Astyanax mexicanus: one gene and its partner. The protein of the gene in region 1 purifies or fractionates together with the protein of each later gene. This does not show direct contact. Links are inferred from orthologs where the notes say so. Each region holds a gene or a part of one and is shown on either strand. Other genes may lie near its edges. The genes, in order: mtmr10 and mtmr2.

Region 1 (11,045 bases):
CCTGTTGCATTGGATCCTATTAAATTACAGGTCATAGGCCACTGAAGTCATGTGTCATTCTGTAGTCCTCGTACGGCTTCCGTGTCTAAGCGTTTTTTCCCTATAAGGAAAATTAATGGGCTTTTCAAAAACACGCCTCTATCACATTCTGTGGTAAATAAATCTGTTCAGAACTCTGTACGTTTTATTCTGTGTACATTTTACTCCTGAACATCACTGGATCCTCTGAATTACGAGATCGTTTAAGAGTCATAATGAGAAAAATGCTGCGGAGTGTACTGACCTCCAGGCACCGCTGCAGAGATTAGCAGGAGACTGTTTTCGGCGCAACACCAGAGAACTCCAGCCGTAAGTTAGGAGCATTTTACACACAGCTGAGCCTAATAATGAACTAACTGCGCTTACTGAGGAGAGCTGAGAGTGATACAGCATAAAATCACTAAAACAGGTCAGTGATACTCCAGAACCAGCTGTAACACGTTTTAACATCTACCCTCTTTATTATGCAGTGAAATAAATGGGTGTTTCTGGTTCGTTATCGCCTCAGTGAGGGCAGATAGTTAGTTGATTAGTTGATTAGTAATTAGTATAAACTAATGACCGTAATTAAATACTAAACCCTTCGGGGAAGCGCTGCTGAACTGAGAGACATTTTCTCTTATTATTTGCCTTTTAAAGCTCTAACACAGACTACACTGCTCAACACCACACTGCTCAACATCACACTGCTCAACACCACACTGCTCAACATCACACTGCTCAACATCACACTGCTCAACACCACACTGCTCAACACCACACTGCTCAACACCACACTGCTCAACATCACACTGCTCAACACCACACTGCTCAACACCACACTGCTCAACATCACACTGCTCAACACCACACTGCTCAACACCACACTGCTCAACATCACACTGCTCAACATTACACTGCTCAACATCACACTGCTCAACATCACACTGCTCAACACCACACTGTTCAACACCACACTGCTCAACATCACACTGCTCAACACCACACTGTTCAACACCACACTGCTCAACATCACACTGCTCAACATCACACTGCTCAACACCACACTGCTCAACATCACACTGCTCAACATCACACTGCTCAACATTACACTGCTCAACACCACACTGCTCAACACCACACTGCTCAACACCACACTGCTCAACATCACACTGCTCAACATCACTGAAAGAGTTTTCACCTGTTTAAATGCTTTAATGATCCTCTGTGAAGAAGCTTAATAATCCATAACGCTTTCTGATGGGAGTTCACTGGTGTTGTGCAGAATCCAGTCCGGGGTCATTTCCAGCCGCTGTGCTGTGACGTCAGTAGCAATAGCTTAAAGTTAGTATTTTTCTGATTACTTCCCTTAAACGATCTCGAAATTCAGCGGATCCAGTGATATTTAGGAGGTAAATGTACACAGAATAAAACGTACAGGGTTCTGAACAGATTTATTTACCACAGAATGTGACAGAGGCCAGTTTTTGAAAAGCCGCCGTTTACATGAACGGCTTAGACACGGAAACCCAAATATGGGCATAAACAACATGGCGTCGACTACAAAATGATGACACGACTTCAGTGATCTATTTGCATAAAGGTATAACTGCTTAGATGGAGTCTGTGTTGGGTGAAGGGGACGAGACGCCAAAGGGTCCTCACTCCCTCGCCTTGTACTTCATTTCTCTCTGTCTCTCTCTCTCTCTCTGGGTTGTGAATGTGTGTTGATGTAATTTTACTCTTTTCTAATATATCTACTCATTTATGTTTCTTTTATATATATGTAATGTTATTTTGTTTTCCAGTAAACTTTAATATATTTTAAATTCTAAACTAATCTTTTAATGTTCTGGGATTGTAACAATCATTCAGTGGGAGTTCTCACTTCTAAGTTTTATCATGCTGTGGTAAATTTCGCTAAAACAGCTAATCGTTTAGGCCCCTAGACAGATTTTGCAGTATATTTTTAAAAGTTGACGTTCCTTTATTAACCTTAACATTAAAGTATAGTGGTATGAAAAGTATAGTGATATGGTTTTTATAACACACAAACAGTCATCCTGCATCAGTAAAAAGATTATTTCCTTTATTCATTCCTTTATTCAAAAAGCTCCACAAAGGACTGCACTTGCTCTCCCCACACGGGAGGCCTCTTCACCCAACACTACAGCAAAATCTGCCACTACAGCAAAATCTGCACACTGTATTATCTAACTGTAACACTAGAGCATTAATAACCAGCATTTTATAAATTTAGAAAACTAATTAAAATCACAGCAGCCCTGTAACAGGTTTAGGGTGAAAAATGCTCCTTTTGCTGGAAGCTTCTTGTCTTAGTGTGCATAAAAAATCGCTCGCTCAAATTAAAGAAAATGTGAGCACAAATTAAAGAAATCGTGAGCACAACTGCAAATCGTTCACTTAAATTGAAGAAATCGTGAGTACAAACTGCTATATCGTTCACTCGATTTATTTATTTTTTTGTATCCATGGCCCCTCCCAGGATCGTACTTGAGAACAATGTTTAATAATCAGTGAGAAAGTTGAAGTTGCTCTGGGACTGAATACTTTAACAAGACAATGACCCTAAATGCTGCTCAAAATCACTCCTATAGCATTAATGCAGAGGAACAGGTACCACAGTCTGGAATGATCATCTCAGTCCCCAGAACTGATTTTTTTTCAACATCACAATTCACTTATTTATATATACAATATTACAAACTAACCCAGCTGAACATTTAACATATAAAATAAATAAGATCCTAACAGCGATGTTTTAGCATGTGGTTTAAAGTCTAACAAGGTAACTAAAGATTCAAAAAGTTTTATTGCCATACAATTAAATCATTATTTTACTAGTCCTCCACTAACACACAAGCTACTAAAACATAAATCTATACAGCAAATAAACTACAGACTACAGACAAAATGAAACCAGACACATACTTAAAACTAAAGATTTTTATTTTAATGCCTGAAATCTAGGAGTGTCTGTATAACAATGAGTCCTCCTCACAAAAAATCACAGCAAAGAACCTTCTTCATTCATTCAGCATTAATACCGTTCACGATATCAGAGGACACAGCCCAAAGCTGTCAATCACCACATGTCCACACTCCTTTATATTTCATAAAATAATATAAAAGCTAGTGGGGCTTTAACTAAATTATCTGATCCTAAATGTAATTTTAGTTTAATATGAAAACGTAGGGCAGACTGCCACGTGCAGCGCCAATAATGGATATATTTTGTAATCCAAATGAAGGAAGAGCCAAAGATTATATATATAGGGCGGTAAAGTCTGAAGATTGTCGTTCATGGTAGGTGAAAAAAAAACTGTCAGAAAATACAATAAACACGTGGTTTAACGAGGACTGAGTTTTTTGTGTAACAGATGGTGATATTAATGTTAAAAAGGTGGAAATACGGCAGATTTTGTCTTTTTCCCAGTACTATCAGCGATTATGCAAATTAAGTGTGAATATAGAATCCTAACCATTGGAACTCGGCACGCAGTTAAACAAAAACACGCAGCAAAATGTACTTCTACGTTGTATTCCTAGACTGGGACTGAATGTGTATTTCTGTATTTTATTGTAAATAAAACACCCCCTCACACAGTCACTCCTCTAGAGTTCAGACTTTTAACTGCAGTAAAGGACAGGAGAGGTGATACTAAAACACGCTGCTTTATAACTAATCTATCCTACACAATTAAACACACTCCACTGCTAAACACAGTGACCAGAGCTGGTTTATGGAGAGAAGATCTGAATATTATAGAATTATAGAAATCTGTGGTGTGATTTAAAGCGAGCTGTTCATGATCAGAAACCATCAAACCTTACAGAACTGAAGAAAATGATACAAAATACCTTCAACCAGAAGACAGACTCTCATAGGAAGGAATAGGAAACGTTTAGAGGCTGTTATTTCTGCAAAAGGAATATCTACTAAATATTTATGTAATTTTTCTGTTGGGGCCCAAATTTATACACCTGCCTAATTTAGTTTAAATAATTATTGCACAATTTCTGTAAATCCTATAAACTTATTTTCACTTATTTAACTGTAATTGCTGATCCGAACAACCAATGATTTATAAAATAAAATCATAAAAAATTGAATTTCAACCACAGTGATTTGCAGATCTATAGTAACATGCTCTATATTAGCTCTACAGGAAGAATTAATTTCATCATTTAACAGTAGTAATGCTGTGAAAATTACAAAAAAAAAAAAAATACTATTTAAAATAATTTTAGAAAACCCAAAGAAAGAAAGGCTTTTAGATACTTTCTCTATAAATGTATTGTGGCGGCTCTGGGTTGTGTGTGTGGCTGCCTGTAGGCATGTTTCTATTCTTCTGTGTTTGGGGCCTCTTGTGTTTTGTTGTGCTGTGTCGCTCCAGCCTACGTAATTGGTACCTCCCCTGTAACCTAGGGTATGGGGAGGGGCCATGCAGATGGATGCTGGTTAGGGCACTCACCGTAGAGTAGGTGGATAGTGAGTTTAGTCACTTGGCTCTGTTGGTAGCCTATAGATAGAATGGTTTTAGCTCTCCTAGTCTTGTTAAAGATTGTAAGTGAGTGGCAAGCCTGTTCATTAAAGTAGCTATTGAGCATTCAGCATGAGTCTCACGGGTCTTCCTTCCTCTTCCACGCCACAGTAAGTTTAAACTTTATGGAAAATGATTATTGAACTATATTTTTTGTTTAAGAAGCACAAATAAATGAACATGAATCATGCTATTTAAATATTATGTTCATATACATAGGCCACACCCCCGTCCATATCTCGGTCACGCCCTCTCCAAACTCTCCGTTCTGGAGTGATTTGGACGTTCGATTCATTTTGTCAAGTTGACTCTTTTGAACTCAACGTTTCAGTGAATCGGGTGTCCGATTAAACGATTCAGTGATTCACAACAAAGCATCACTCTCTGATTCTTTATGATGCTGTTCTCGTGCAGTATTTTCTTAATTTAAAAAATAAAGTAAATGTGAATATGATTGTAGAAAATATACACCATACACGTATTTTTCATCATACTTAATCATACAAAACACAACTAGTAGTGAAATGATTTCATAAAGTTTATGTTAGTGTGAATATGCTTCATATTCATATATAAATAATGTTATTTCCGATTACATTAAAACTACCTGCCGAATATTGTGGAGGTCTCGCTGTGTTACTAAAACAGGTCTAGCCCTCCAGATCCTGAGCATCAGATCTTTTAAGTCCTGTAAAGGATTGGTAATTAAAGCTTTGGCTTTAGCGCCACCTAGTGGTTTGTTTTATACTAGGTTGAACAGAAAACACCTGTCTGCCTGCTTACTGCATTAAAATGTTTCTCTGCAGCTACATATTAATGCCTATACCCTTCTGTTTCTAAGAATTCGAATGAGTATAACACTGTTTATGTAAAGCATACATTTGTATGTATATTTTATATATAATCCCTTTGATGTGCAACATGGGTCAAAATGACCTGGCTAAGTATTAATTTTAGATATCTTTGCCAATCTTTGCCTCAATAACTTGTTTTTGATCATCATACATTCTTATTTAATATTATTTAAGTAAGAAATGTAAAAATAAAATAAGGATGCACGATGATCAAAAAAAGAAGTTAATTGAAAAATACCTTACATTTTGAATGACTGAATTAATGTATTGCTAAAATATATCATATAAACACTCAGTTGAGCATGAATTTACATGGAGAAGAAATGTCTTCTCTTTGGATTTAGTTTAGTGGATTAGTTTGGAGATAGATTTTAGATTTTACATTTACATAAACATGAAATAATAAAAATAAAACCAGTTTTTCTTTACTTAATTTAGTAGTTTTTGTCATAATCTGGATTAGAACATTACTCAAATAGAGCTACTCACTGTATACCTGTAACTCTACCTCTTCAAAACTTTACAACTGATGCTCTCAAACACATTAAGTGGCAACAAATTCAAGTAATTAACTCTTGACAAGTTCAGCACAGCTGTTAACTGAAATCCACTCCAGAAGTTTCTACTTTATGAAGCTGTGCAAAGCTGTCATCTAAGAATATATAAAATATATTATGGTTTATTTAACATATTTTTGTTTCCTAAATAATTCCAGATGTTTCTTCTCATAGTTTGGATGATTTTAGTATTATTCTACAATGCAGAACATTTCAAAATAATGAAAAAACACTAAATTGAAGGTGCATCCATTACAATGGACAACATGTGTTTTCTTTATTTTTAAATTATTTGTTGCACATAACACTATTTGAGAGTTGTTGTCCATCAGAATAGACCAATGTGCCAATGAACAATTTTATAAACCAATGAAACTGAAACTTGGCCCCGCCCACTGCACTGGAAAAACATTTGGAAAAACAAATTTGCCATTAAGGCAAAGTTACAGCTAATTTAATGTGATTTAGATCACTTTTTAATCATGTTTTTTGTTACTGTTTAGGGATGGTTTATGGAATGAAAAGGTCGATATAGAATATAAAATATTACACACAGTTTTTCAATGCAATAGAAATAAAAAACTTCAATATTTTAGTTAATTTTATTTATTTATTTTTATTTATTAATTTATTTGCTATATAGATTTTATAGTGGAATATTACAGTATTTTTTTCTGTGATTTACAGACAGAAAACAGCTTTCTCACATTTTCTTTCCATCACTGGAGATAATTCAGGTCTGAAAGGGTTAAGTTGTGTCCAAACAGAAACACTTGACTCAGTTGCTGGATCTGCGAGTCTCCTGAATCGGTTCAACCGGTTCACTTGAAAAGATTCGATTCATCTGCGAGTCGTTCACAGTCCGCTACTTGTGTAAACATGGCCGCGGAGTCTCCTGCAGGAACCGAGCGCCCTCAGTAAAACCCAGCGCAGCTCAGTCCGCGGGGGAGCAGCGGGGAAACTGCAGCCGGGACCGGGCTTCGGGGGGTCCGGACACATTTTACCGCAGTGAGGAAAAGGAGGAAGACCCGCGGCGGAGCGCAGGGTTTAGAAAAACTACAGAACCGCTGGAGGAAAAGTTCAGCCCCGCGCCGAGTTTGACAGGCAACTTACCGGAGAGCTAATGCTAACAGCGCTAGCGGGGTAAAGAGAGAGAGGGAGGGATAGTTATCTGAGTGAGTTTAACTATGTTTCTCTCTCTCTCTGGAGTTTAAGAGTTTCAGAATGAATGAAGACTGGGTCTGGGGTTAATCCTGCAGCAGCAGAGACTGGAGCCGGACTGCTGCTTCTCTCTAAACTGAACTACATAAACTAGTTAATCTGAAGTTGGAGCTGCTGAAGATCAGCTGCAGCTCTGGAGTCTGGATTTAACTGAGAGTTTGTGAGGTTGTGGGTGTCAGTCTGCTCCCAGACCAGCTTTAAACATGTTTTCTCCTAAAACTCCTCCAAAACCAACCTTTAAATCCTACCTTCCTCCACTTCAGGTCAGTAAATCTCTTTAATCTGCTATATTTATGTGTCTTGGCTTTGTTGAACATGCTGGTGGTGGATAGATGTTTACTAACCTACAGTAGTTTATTTCATTTGTACAGTAAATATGGTTTGAAGACACAAGATTACTAACTTTTAACAGTAAAAAACTGTAGTGATGATAAATGTAATACTGTTTTCTACTAAAACATCAGCAAAACCAATAAATACTACCTTTTAAATCCTACCTTCCTCCACTTCAGGTCAGTAAATCTCTTTATTCTGTAATATTAATGTGTTTTAGCTTTGTTGAACATGCTGGTTGTGGAAAGAGGTTTTGCCACAGTAGTTTATTTCATTTATACAGTAAACATGGTTTGAAGACACAAGAATACTCACTTTTAACAGTAAAAACCTGTAGTGATGAGACATTTAATACTGTTTTCTACTAAAACATCAGCAAAACTAATAAATACTACCTTTTAAATCCTACCTTCCTCCACTTCAGGTCAGTAAATCTTTTTAATCCGCTATATTTATGTGTTTTGGCTTTGTAGAACATGCTGGTGGTGGATAGATGTTTACTAACCTACAGTAGTTTATTTCATTTGTATAGTAAATATGAGTCGAAGACACAAGATTACTTACTTTTAACAGTAGAAAAACTGCAATTACACACAGAGATTGGACACGAGAGATAAATATATCAGTTCAGTAATACAATTTTCTACTAAAACACCTCCAAAAACAACATTTAAATCAGTTAGTTATGGGTTTTGGCTTTGTAGAACATGCTGGTGGTGGATAGATGTTTTGCCACAGTAGTTTATTTTATTTATATAGTAAATATTAGAGGTGTGCCAAAAAATCGATTCACATAAGAATCTTGATTCTCATTTACTACGATTCAGAATCGATTTAAAATGTCCCAAAATCGATTCTGAGGGGCGGGTTTTAGACTGATTTTGGGCTGGGTATTTTTGTTGGACCTGGCAACCCTGGGGATAGGGCTTGTCCCTTCAAACGGAGATCTTCCAGACACACACAGAGCGTAGGTGTTTGAGAATCACCGGTAAGATGGCAGAACAAGCACTATATTACCTTAGATTAACGTGTAGTTTCAATGTTTTATGGCAGAATGCTTCATAACAAGCATAAAAAAGATCGCTAGTAGTTAGTTTCAGTAACTGTTAGCTAGCTAACTAGCTAACTTTCCAGTTCCACCTTAAATAACGCTACAGGTGGCAGCGGGCTGCAGCATTTAAGGCGGAACGGAAAAATAACAATAAGCTAATCAGAGCTAATTTCAGCTCCTCATCACAGAGGAATTAAGGAATGGACAATATGAATTAATTTCTCCACCTCCTGCCCCCTTTCTGAAGAAATACAACCACCTTAAATTAACTAGTTAATCAGCAGCTGCTCCTGAACTTTAGCGCTCCACTGCTATCATCACATCAGCCCAGCAGCGTCACCTACACACCACCGCTAGTAGCCTGGTAATAAAGCAGTGTTATTTATTATTTATTTATTGTTCATTAACGTCATTGTGATATCCCAGTGATTTCTCTGTCACTGAGGACCCACATTCCTGCACATTTTATTGTTTTTGTAACACATTACTTGCTCCAGGACCAGTGTATATTATGGAGGGTTTTTTTTTCAATAAGATTCATAAGCCAGAAGCAGAAATTTTTATAATTCAAATCGTTTTGAATCAAAAATCGATTTTGAATCGAATCGTGGCCCCCAAAATCGGAATCGAATCGAATCGTGAGATAGTAAACGATTCCCACCCCTAGTAAATATGGTTTGAAGACACAAGATTACTTACTTTTAACAGTAAAAAAAAAAAACTATAGTGATGAGAAATTTAATACTGTTTTCTACTAAAACATCAGCCAAACCAATAAATACCACCTTTTAAATCCTACCTTCCTCCACTTCAGGTCAGTAAATCTCTTTAATCTGTAATAGTTATGGGTTTTGGCTTTGTAGAACATGCTGGTGGATGATACATATTTTACTACAGTAGTTTATTCAATTCATACAGTAAATATGGTTTAAAGACACATTATTTCTCACTTTTAACAGTAGAAAACATTGAGAATTTCACATACACTGCTAAAACAACTGCAGTAACAACAACCAGTAATAACAGAAAACCTTTCTAATCTGTTACATTTATGAGTTTTGCGCTTGGAGAACATGCTGGTCTCTCATATTGGTATATATTGGTAGTGTATTAAACAAGGAGAAGGTAATGTTATCACTTAATTTATTACAGTAAATATGGTCTTCAGACAACAAGATTACTCCCTTTTATCAGTAGAAGACTTGAAGATAGATTATTGTAGTAAATATAGTCGTATAGGCCACAAGATTACTCAGTTTGATTGATGCTGGAATACTACATATTAAGCTGGTTGACAGATTTAGCTTTAGAGCATCAGCATCAGCATATAATATATATATTTTTGAGTTTGATGGTTTAACTGGTCTACAAAAAATAACCTAACCAAGCTAAGCAACCAGTATGGCCAAGCTTTACCATGCTGGTTGACCACCATGACCAAAATGACCAAGACTATTGACAAACATGACCAAACAGGTCTATCAGCATGACCAGAATCCAATGCAAAATGCACCATTCTGTTCAAGCGCTGGTAATGAGTCAGCTTATCAGTAAAGGACATGTTTTTATCTGAATGACCAGTTTTCAACCCTCTTGGCCAGTTTAGACTGTCCGAAACCAGCAACCAGCAAAACTGGTCTTGAGCATTTTGCAGTATATTGTATTACTGGGTACTATATACTAGATTTAGGTTATAAGTGAGATAAACACCAGTTAAACAATACTGTTTTCCACCCAAACTCCTCCATAACCAACATTTTATTTCAAGATCTTTATAATCTGTATATATATATATATATATATATATATATATATATATATATATATATATATATATATATCTGTTATATAACCCATATACTGTATATGGGTTTTGGCTTTGAGGAACATGCTGGTATTTTCAGATTGGTATGTAGGTATTGATAGTGCATCTGACAGTATATATATATATGAAAATGTATTATATTCAAAAAATTATTGTATTTATGAATATTTACTATATTAAATACAGTCTTTAGGCTTTTATTGCATTGTATTATCAGTAGGAATCCGATTGTTATTGAAATCCTGGAATTTTCGTGTGATAAAAGGAATGGTAGAAAATAGAAAACATACACAGTTTGATCTCTACAGGCTAATCAGAATCAGAATAATAAGTTATTTTTTTCACGATCATGCTAAATATACTAGTAGAGTGTGAATAGGTTAAACACCAGTTCAGTGTAATGTTTGAGATGTAGGACAATCTTAAAAAAATATAATTAAATGTAAATTGTATGTAAAGTATCGTGAGTGTAAAGCGCTTTCAGTAGATCTAATATTGGCAAGCTTGTATCTCCGATTTACATAACAACTCTTCTACATGTCATTTAAATAACAACTGACACATTATGTCAAAAAGTGAAAAATGGAGATAAAAGGTTTTGGCCCAACACGGCTGATGCAT
Region 2 (10,810 bases), on another chromosome or scaffold:
TTCCTCAGGGTCAGGGTGACTTTACAAGTGAAGATCAGGGTAAAGACTGATGGAAGAATGTGAAGGGAGTAAGATGATGCACCTCAAAAAAGAGAAATGTTTGTAAGGGTGTCTAAAACATAGTTCATCTAATAGGAGAACAATTTCTGAGTGATCCATGCACCCACGGGTGAGTCTTTAGCATTGTTTAGGTGCTGACTGGTTGCCTTTGCGACGAGAAAGATGACCTCAGCAATGTTAAGGATGATGCAGATGGCGGACACAGCCAGCATGAATACGGTGAAGATGGTTTTCTCGGTGGGCCGGGAGACAAAGCAGTCAACTGTATTGGGACACGGATACGAGTCGCACTTCACCAGTCGGAACATCTTGTAGCCGGGGTAGATCATGTAGAACAGGTAGAGGAAGGCAGACTCGAAGAGAACGCGGAACAGCAGGCTGATCAGATATGTCCACCAGAGGGCGCCGGTGATCTTCATCTTCTGCATTTTGATCTGCTCTAGCTCCTTAGGGCTACCGCGGCCTGTGCGGCGGTACAGCTTCTTGTCCAGGTGTCGGCGGTGCGCGATGTGCATGGTGACCAGCAGGGCGGGGCTGGAGACCAGGATAAGCTGTAGTGCCCACAGGCGGATGTGTGAGATGGGGAAGAACTGGTCGTAGCAGACACTGTTGCACCCCGGCTGCTGTGTGTTGCAGGTAAAATGAGACCTCTCATCGCCCCAGACGCTCTCAGCCGCCACCACCAGCACCAAGATCCGGAAGATAAAGAGAACGGAGAGCCAGACACGGCCGATCCCAGTGGAGTGCCGATTTACGCCGCTGATCACGGCGTAGAAGGACGCCCAATTCATTTTTGGTTCCAGGTCTAAAACATAACAAAAAGATGCTGTTAAATACAAACATGCAGATACTACAAGGAATCAGTGAATTGGACTTTTGGAACATTTTACACACTTTCCACTCTTCTCATTTTAATGTAAAGGCAGTATCTACGGAACTCCTGTAGATGGCAGCAGCTTTAAAACTGCAATGAATCATGTAAAAGTGCTATGCGTGCATAAGAACTCCAAATAAATTCCATTTATATAAATGTACTGCAGGTGACATTGTAAACAAGTGTATTTCATGCTACTAAAGTTATAGTAAATATTAAGCCTAGCCACTATTGAATATTAAGCCTGTGACAGTAGGTAGTCCTATGAACTCAGTCTCAATGCAAGTATATTTAGGCAGGTGCATCAGCTGTGTAATTTTTGTATCAGTGGCTTGAGGCTTGTTAAGGTCAATTCATGCAAGAAACCAAACTAGGGAATTAAAAAAGAGAACAAAGGAGAAGGAGAATACACAAAAAAACGCTGAATAATAAACAACAAAGACCAACGAAGGAACATGAAAATGCTGGGGTATAAATACACAAGAAGGGAAACGGAAATAGGAGACACCTGGGGAAACAGGTAAGAGGGGGCGGAGTAACAAATAAGACACAGGTGAAGGCACTAGACATAGAGGAGTACAGTCACATGGGGAACACACACACAGGAATAGGAGGGAGAATGACAGGTAAACAACAGATACAGGAGCACAGATGGGAAACAAGGCAAGGATGTGACAAATTAATTTAGTGGAAATGCATGAATATTAAATAAAATAACAAGAGTTTCAGAAACAGCTGGAATTCATGCATTTCCACTGAATTTGTTTTTCAATCTGTTTCCCTATACCACCTATTCGTTTATGCTCATCAGTCTACTTATCGTGACTTAATTTCAAGATGTTGGCGCCCAGAGAGCTACCTTAAGATACTTTGTTTATAAACAGTGTTTTATTAAGCTACCTCTGCACTTTCAAAGTTCTTAGTGCTTATTTTAAATTTCACACCTTATTAACCCTGTAAGTAGTGGCTGTGTGTTATTATATTAATAGATAGTTAGTCATTAGCTTGTGGCTATTGCATTAGCTTGTGTTTAGACTAAGATGGGAATGCAATAAACAACTTTTGACTGACTTGCCTTAATACACCTGTGTGCAAACGTTTTTGCAATCCAAGTGAAACACTAATTATAGGTGTTTTTTAAGTCACATCCTCACCAGTTTTTTTTAAGGTGTTAAATAAGTCACAAACTCTACTTTTACAGATTAAGACATAGTTGTAGATTTAAAAAAGTTTATGGCACATAAAATGTTATGTTTTCTCTGTTAAATTGAGTAAAGAAGTAGAAATTTTGTGTACAAAAATTGTCATAATTAAGTTTATTACATATTTATTCACGTATTTACACTCAGAACACCAAGAACCCATATAATTCGAAGAGGAGTGCACAACTTTTGCACACAACTGTGAATACAAATGCTAAATTGTGTGTGTCAGTTACCAGGCTCCGGCGGTGGCGTTAGAGGCATGGGCAGAACCCCACTGAGCGTCCAGAAGCATCACAGTCCCTCCAGTCTCAGATACTTTTCCTGTGCAATTCTGTGTGTTTGTGTATGTGTGTGTGTGTCAGCCAGTCTGGCTGTTGCTGCCACTGTTTAAGAACACACACCCATGTGACCCCTTATCACTTAGTCAGTTCTCCGCCCCCTTTGCACAATGTGACGCGAGGGTCAACGAGTGTCTGGACAATCCAACAGTGTGTTTGGGGAGGGGGGTACATCCTGTACCTCATTTACTTCACATTCAACATGTGCGATTCTTTTGCTATAATTCAACAGTTGAAATGTAATAGAATAGAATACAGTCAGATCAAGAAACTTTTTACAGTGGGGTTTTGCCAAAACGTTTTAGAAAAAAATGAAAATGATTAAGTTGTTGCAACTAGTGGACTGTGTTCCTGGCAAAAAAGTCATGCTGCTCACAGATTCACCAACATGTATAGAAAACTTCCTCAGCCAAACAAATGGGTTAGCTGCAGTAGCTTTCTTTCTCTGTTTGCACCTTGACTTCACATCAAGCTGCACCAATCCTTGATCCAAATGTAAATGAGTCTGGCCTCCTCCAATGCCTAAAAATGCTTGGCTTCATAACAGGCCCTGATGTGGCTTCTGTCTTTAACAGTAAAGCAGCATTGCACTGCCCCATAAAGGAAACACTTTACACGTGATTTTCTGGATAAGCTAAAAGTGAACAAATCATGTGGCCTGAGGAGGTAGTTACCAGATATAAAGTGTAGTTTACAGCATGAAGAGCCTGTGTAACACCTGCACACACTGCACCTTTTAGATCAGCCTCTCCGGAGTACTAATAAGCTGACTCCACCTCTTCCATACACCTGTAAGACTTCAACTGATTACTTGGACTATTGATACTGGTTCTCTTACTGTCTCCAGTTGTAAGATATTGCCACTCTTATCAAGCATTATATACTTTGTTTGTTATTCTTGGTTGTTGATCTTTGCCTGCTCTTTGACTATGAATTTTGCCTTGTGTTCTATTTTATTTTATTTTTTTATCTCTACCTGTTTTTGACAGCGATTTTGGCTGGTGTTTTTGCATAAATAAACCTGCCTTGCATTTGCATCCAAACTATCCTGGTTGCTTCTTACAGCCTGGATTACCAAGGATTACCAAGGATTACCATTCAAATTTTACATGTGTATTTGTTTCATATTCATTCCACCAATTTTTTATTTGCTCAGTATTTTAAAGGTTGAAGGTGAAAGTTTTAGTAGGTAGTTTGAGGAGACTTGTGGGTAGTTGGAGGTTGGAGGTAAGAATGGAGGCTAGTTAGAATGCAGGTCTTGAGTGATTGGTATTTGGAAGTAAGGGTGGATGTACTTAAATGAAAGTGCTTGGTAGTTGGAGATGATAATTGGTAGTTGTGGTAAGAGTGGTTGGTAGTTATAGGTGAGACTGGTAGGTTGTTGGGGTGAGTTGGGTGGGTAGCTTGAGAAAAGGTGGTTGGTAGTTGGAGGTTTGAGGTGAAAGTTGTGGGTAGTTGGAATGAGTGTGGTGGGGAGTTGGGAGGTTGAATGTGATAGTGGTGGGGAGTTGGAGGTTGAATCTAAAAGTGGTGGGTAGCAATGGGTAAGAGTGGTTGGTAGTTGGAGCAGAGAGTTTTGATTAGATGAAGGTGAGATTGGTGGGTAGTTAAAGGGTTTAATGTGGAAGTTTTAAGATGAAAGTGTTGGGTAGTGGGAGGTGAGAGTGATGGGTAGTTTGTGGTGAGAGTGGTGGGTGGTTGGAGGTGAGAGTGGTGGGTAATTGGATGTGAGAGTGGTGGGTAGATGGAGGTTAGAGTGAAGGGTAGTTAAAGGTGAGAGTGGTGAGTAGATGGAGGTTATGGGTAGTTGGGGTAAGAGTGATTAGCAGTTGGAGGTTGGAGGTGAAAGTGGTGGGTAGTTGAAAGTGAGAGTAGATGGAGGTCAAAGTGGTAGGTAGTTGCAGTTGAGAGTGGTGGATAGATGTAGATGAGAGTGGTGAGTAGATGGTAGTCAAAGGGGTGGGTAGTTGGAGGTGAGAGTGGTGGGTAGTTAAAGGTGAGAGTAATGGGTAGTTGGGGTAAGAGTGATTGGCAGTTGGAGACTGGAGGTCAAAGTGGTGGGTAGTTGCAGTTGAGAGTGGTGGGTAGTTGGGGTAAGGGTGAGGGGCAGTTTGAGGTTGGGGTAAGAGTGGTGGGTAGTTGGAGGTAAGGGTGGTCAGTAGATGGAGGTGAGACTGGTGGGTAGTTGAAGGTGACAGTAATGGGTAGTTTGGGTAGGAGTGATTGGCAGTTGGAGGTGGAGGTCAAAGTGGTGGGTGTTTGCAAGTGAGAGTGGTGGGTAGTTGTAGTTGAGAGTGTTGTATTGGTAGTTTAGAATGGTGTGTTGGTTGTTTGGTAGTTGTAGATAAGATTGGGGGTTTACCTGTGGTTTGGTGGGGTCCGTGCTGAGAAAGAAGCGGAGCAGCTGGAGTTAACAGCAGTGCAGAAAGGGTTGATGTGTGTGAGTTTGAGAGAGGGCTGTTATGATACAGCTCAGCGACTTTGCATTGCTAATGAAGAGCAGTCACGCTGTAGCCGCTCCCATGCTACCATTAGCATACAATGGCTGCTTGTACTGTTCTTTTTACCATTCAGATCAGTCCGCTGATACACACCCACCACAGCACAGAGACTAACACTCTGACGCACATCCACACACACACACCAGTTATACAGTGGGACTGCATGTTTTAGACATAAAGCAGGGCACGCGTAAAAAGAGAGAGAAATCATAAAAAATGGACATCTTTCAGAGAGAACAAAAACAAGCAATGACAACAAGCCGCATGTTATTTTTTAGTAAACCATTAACTGGTTTACATTATTATTTTATTTTTCATCTTTTCAGTTTAGGGAGGAGCAAACGTGCTGCATTCCATTTTGAACTTGGATGTTGGACGTTCCAAGTAGGAAATTTAAAATATTTTCTACCTGGAAAACTCAAAGAGGGTTACTAACCCTGAGTTCAGAATCCAAGATGGCTGCACTGCTCACCAACAGTAGTAACTGCAGTAGTACAAGTTGTAGTAAATGTCCAAGTCTTTTTTTATAAATATTTTAAAATAGTACACAATTATTGCACAAATTGCTGGTCAAAAGCTAGTTAACGAGCTAGCCTGCCAACATTGGGTGTGTTGTTTTTTTTCTGGATGCCTAGCTGATCTTGAGTCCGGGAGACCCACTGCCATGCACATTGTAATGGTTTTTCTGCTGTAGTACACCCAACTGAACTCACTGTGAATGAACAGATTCTCAGATGAGGAGAGATTAGAAGATGTTTTAAGGTAAACAGTGCTGTAAAAGCATTGCTTTTGGTAAAATTGCTGTTTGTATTTATTGTAATGTTAGTGTTTTTACTGAGCTGATAAACACTAACTTCACAGAAAGAAGCTTTTTCTTTACTGAAATTCCCACAGGTGCCTAAAACATTTGCACAATACTGTTAACAAATTATACTTGAGGAACTAAATCTTTAATTACTGGAGTATTATTTTTTTCTCCTGCCTCTACTTTTGTCAATGCATATTTTCAATGAGTATAATAATACACTGATACATTTTTGAGTGCTGCATCATTACTCATTAAAATTAAAAAACACGCATCTGTCCTTTGACAGCTGAAGTTGATTTTACAATAGTGATAGACCGACTAGTGACCTTTTGTGCAAAATGGGTTGAAATATCCTAATGACTTTTGGGTAAGTATGTTTAGAGAGTTGACTGAAGACATGATGTACATGTACTCTAACTTGTACATTTATGTGCTTGTGCTGGTGTTGCAGCTAAATATATTGTAAATGCCCTTTAGCCTAAATATTGAAAATATTATAAACAATATGAAATTTAAATGTCTGACTGCTCTCTGTTATTATTCATAACACTACTACTTTTACTTTCAGTACTTGAGTTGTACATTTTAGAATAAACTACTTGCAATATTTAAGTACAAAAATGTTGAATACCTTAGTACTCTCTGCTGACAACTTGTGGAAATGCGGATTTTAAAATAGATCACTCTGTGTGTAATACATGTATTTATGAGTTTCACATTTTAAGAGAGAGAGAGAGAGAGTGTTGAGTTGAGCTGGGGTGAGCTGAGGTGAGGTGAGAGGGAGAGAGGGGGACTGTGGGTAAAGATGGCAGCTTCCTGTGTGTGTGTTGATCTGCTGTAGCTGTGGTTGTGAGGAGGTCGGCGGATCTAAATGCTGGTTTGATCGCTGGATTAGTCGCTGGTTCCCTGCAGGACTCGGTGATTCTCCTTTTTGATGGACCCGGGCTCTAACGGGGAGTCGCCGGGCTCCAGGCAGCCCAGCCTGGACTCACTCTGCAGGTACTTCCGCCCCTTACAGCCAGCAGCGAGCTAACGCGGCTAACCGCTAATACTGAGGGAAAAACACAGATTACCTGGAAAAAACACAGCGGAGTTCACAGAAACAGTTTAAAACCCACTACTGGAGAATATTTCTGCTACACGGAGAAACACTAATGAGTACTAGACCCCGGTTAACCGGGAGGTTTCCGCTGGAGCTAATTAACTAGTTAGCTAACTGAGCTAGCTAACTGATAATGTCAGTTTATTTACATGTTCAGCTAACTATCATTGTACCTATAGCAACACTTATAGGTTAGCTAACTAAGCTAAGCTAGCTAGTGTTGACAAGTAGCCACTCCATTTAACTGTCGTGTCATTAAATCAATTACATTGTACCTCGTTAAGTATCTGCCACAGCTAACTAAGTTATCTGTCAGTGGTGTAAAAGGCACATACACTTTGTATCTAGCTTCTTTAATAAACGTAACTAGATACCCAGGGTGAAATATTACTCCAGTAAAAGTAGCTAAAGCCCCCTTAAATACAGAATATATATATATATATATATATATATATATATATATATATATATATATATATATATATATATATATATAAAACAGGTTTTAATATGACTTTTATGCCCTGTCATGTTTATAACAAGACTTTTCATTAATGAAAACCGTAGGTACATTTCACTTTGGGCTGGCCCTAAAATAATATTGTGATACTTCACAGTATTTTTGCGATAGCGATGTGACGTTATGTATACAAAACATTGAATTAAAGAAAAGTTGATTTCAAGAACAAACTACTGCAACACAGTGAATATTACATTTAATTTGGTGAAATTATTGCATACAATATGAAGTGGAAAAGCCCTAATTGAGATTGTAACAGAAGTCAATGATCCAACATGTAGTGATGCTAATACTTTATATATCCAGGACTGACGGAGAATAGTGTGAATTTTCCACTTTGCTACAAACAACAATAACAGTTGTACCCTGATAGTCCATTTGGGCCAATGGTATTTAAAAAATTGGGGGATATTTTTGTGTATAGTATGATATGGCACACTCCTAGCATCACTCTTGGTTCACCTGTTTTTTATTAAAATAGTTTCCAATAGGGAGAACCAGGTGAATATAACAATTTTTTGCTTGGTCTTGGTAAATAGGTCTTGATATATTTGCAATTTGAGGTAATTTGGATTGCGTCTCCCTGTTCTCTGTGTTAACATGCAGACTGTGTTCATGTGCATTCAGACAGTTCATACAAAAAGAGAGGAAAGACTTTTAAAGCTGGATTGCTCAAATTTGTTGGCACAGAACATGTGTTTGTGTATTACATTTGTAATTCCAAGTTATTTATTCCACAGCTCCTCCACATCTCGGTCAGATCGGTCCTTTCAGACCAAAGGCCCATCAATCTCTTCAGAGCAAAACTCCAACAGTGATCTTTCACCCCAGCTACGGGTGAGAATCATAACTATTAGTTCTTCATTATATTTTAAATAGGATAAATAAATTAGGAATAATAATATGTATATTTTATAAGTAGAGCTTTTCTAAAGCTCATTATTGTTATTGTTATATTGTTATGTCCTGAATTTTTATTTTTAACTAAAATGTGTGTTTGTATTTCACAGGTGAAGGGAAAGCCTGCAAAGGTAGTATTAGTTTGCCTAGTTTACACATTAATACACAAAACAAGCTCATATTGTTTGAAATTATAATCTCTTTCTCCCTCTCCCTCCCTCTCTCTCTCTCTTTCTCTCTTTCTCTCTGTCTTTGTCTCAGACATTCAGAGACTCAGGGAAGGATGATGTTGAGCTCTTGCCAAAGGAGGTGGTGCAGGACGTGGGTGAGGCACTAATAAACATTACTTTAACAGATATAATTTTAAGTATTCTGGGTTAAGGCTGCTCTGAAACACCAGAAGCACCATTGAGGCTCAACACACTTGGAGGAGGACACTAACTGTTCTGTAACAGCTTTCAACAAGATATGCTATCTGACACTTATATTTTAAAGATTGTAATAATTTCTGCTGTTTTAGCACTTTAAGAAGATTTTACAATTACAAATATGCAAACATGTAATTTATTAGAGTACTGTTTAGGTAAAAGTAAAGTGTAATTTTGGGTATGATTTTAAAGTAACCCTTTTATGACCCTGTTTTAAGGTCTGCTGCATGTGGTCTACTGACCTCAGTTCTGTTTTTTTTTTTTTTGTGTCTAGGCAAAGATGTGACATACATCTGTCCATTTCTTGGAGCTCTGCGGGGAACACTTACTGTTACCAACTACAGACTGCTCTTCAGAGGAATTAACAGGGTAATACACATAATCATGAACTGCAGATACTATCAGCACTTTCACTACTTCTAGTTTGCATTGGACCACATTTAAAACTATTGCACATTCTCCAATGTGACTGTTACACACATTAGGCCAACAATGCTAAAATGATATACTGTGCAGTCCTATTACAAACTGCATTGTTGTGACTTTTGTTGCTTAAAATGTATGTACGTGTATATATATATATACTAATATAAGATGTTCACTTTGTATATTTCTGACCCTGTGTTGGTTTCAGATGCCATTTATGTCCATGATGAGAGCCATGTAAACTTTATAGGTTCTTTATGACCGATCAAGTAGCAGTATGTTACTGTGTTACTGCAGCTTTAAGTGTGTGTGTGTGTGTGTGTGTGTGTGTGTAGGAGCCTGGCGTTGTGCTGGATTTGCCACTAGGAGTGATCAGCAGAGTGGATAAGATTGGCGGCGCGTCCAGTCGAGGAGATGTCTCCTACCACCTCTTCTGCAAAGTGGGTGATGATAAATTATTAACAACAGTTTAAAAGAGCTATACAACATTTTTCTCCATTAATGCACATAAGCCTGTCAGGGAAACTATTTTAATTGGTCAATTATATTATTATATAATTGCGATAAGCAATATTATTGTCATAATACAATCACTTTGGGCCACTGATAATGACTAAATTACAGCTGTGTAATGCAATTTCTTCATTTTAAAGAGCATTAAATGGACTGTTTTAATGGACAAAATGGACATATCTAACTGTTCACATTAATGCGCTCTCTTCTTGATAAGTAACAATATTGAGGTTGTGTTCATGAAACATTAGTTGATAACATAATTGTTGTAACAGGTCTATATTAGATAGTATGATGTCAGCCTGGAGGCGGCTGAAGCGCACTGGCTCATGGGCTAAATAGGAAGTTGTACACACAAACACACACACGCATACAGACCAAACATGGATGCTGAACATAAACTTTAATGAAACTTCATTGTGTGTTTTATAATTAGTATATAAAGTCTATAATCACTTTGTGTTGTTTCATGAAAGTTGTTATATATTTTAAAGAATTAAATCAGAAAGCTTCAGAATAAAGGGGTTTATTTATGGTTTTGATGATATTTTATTCCTATTATTAAATCTCCTTGAATTGTCTTGCTTTTTTACTGTGTGTGTTCTATAGGATATGAGGAATTTGCGGTTTGTGCATAAGCAGCCGGATGATTCATTAAAGAAATCTGTTTTCGAGGTGCTAACCAAATTCGCCTTCCCTGTCTCCAACAATCTGGTGAGTGTTTGTATGCATGTGCGCGTATTAGCGTGTGCACATTTTACATGAATTTCTCACTGGCTAACACTCTCCCTCGTTCTCTCTCTCTCTCTCTCTCTCTCTCTCTCTCTCTTTGTAGTCTCTCTTTGCATTTGAGTATAATCAGGTGTTTCCTGAGAACGGGTGGAAGGTGTATGATCCTCTAGCTGAATACAGGAGACAGGTACAGTTTAAATGCATACAGTGTCTTTCTATATCGGGTAAAAAAATAAATAAAAATATAGCCGCAAGCGGCAATCATCGGGTTCAAGCACCAACTTGCACAATGGTGCCTACTGGAGCATTGAATGGTGATGTGTAAGAAGGTCTAATATGATTGGAGATGCCCTGTCACATTTAGAAATTATCAAGTTTTTCACCTGTTATTAATGTTGAGCAG

The links.
Region 2: the proteins of mtmr10 (region 1) and mtmr2 purify together in Homo sapiens (affinity purification with mass spectrometry; 5 studies listed by BioGRID and IntAct, with this or other methods). This does not show direct contact. The link is inferred for Astyanax mexicanus from reciprocal best matches to the Homo sapiens genes MTMR10 and MTMR2.

The regions. Positions count from the first base shown.
Region 1 is NC_064430.1:30,635,975-30,647,019, reverse strand, and holds the start of mtmr10 (myotubularin-related protein 10), read left to right. Parts: upstream 1-6,855; 5' UTR 6,856-7,418; coding exon 7,419-7,478; intron 7,479-7,686; exon of another isoform or gene 7,687-7,727; intron 7,728-7,951; exon of another isoform or gene 7,952-7,972; intron 7,973-9,392; exon of another isoform or gene 9,393-9,413; intron 9,414-11,045.
Region 2 is NC_064408.1:38,191,506-38,202,315, reverse strand, and holds the start of mtmr2 (myotubularin-related protein 2), read left to right. Parts: upstream 1-6,560; 5' UTR 6,561-6,720; coding exon 6,721-6,785; intron 6,786-8,148; coding exon 8,149-8,245; intron 8,246-8,418; coding exon 8,419-8,439; intron 8,440-8,569; coding exon 8,570-8,633; intron 8,634-9,010; coding exon 9,011-9,105; intron 9,106-9,497; coding exon 9,498-9,602; intron 9,603-10,284; coding exon 10,285-10,389; intron 10,390-10,510; coding exon 10,511-10,594; intron 10,595-10,810. Other genes in the region: gjb1a (connexin 27.5), read right to left, coding at 129-865, 2,373-2,400. UniProt on the Homo sapiens protein: Lipid phosphatase that specifically dephosphorylates the D-3 position of phosphatidylinositol 3-phosphate and phosphatidylinositol 3,5-bisphosphate, generating phosphatidylinositol and phosphatidylinositol 5-phosphate.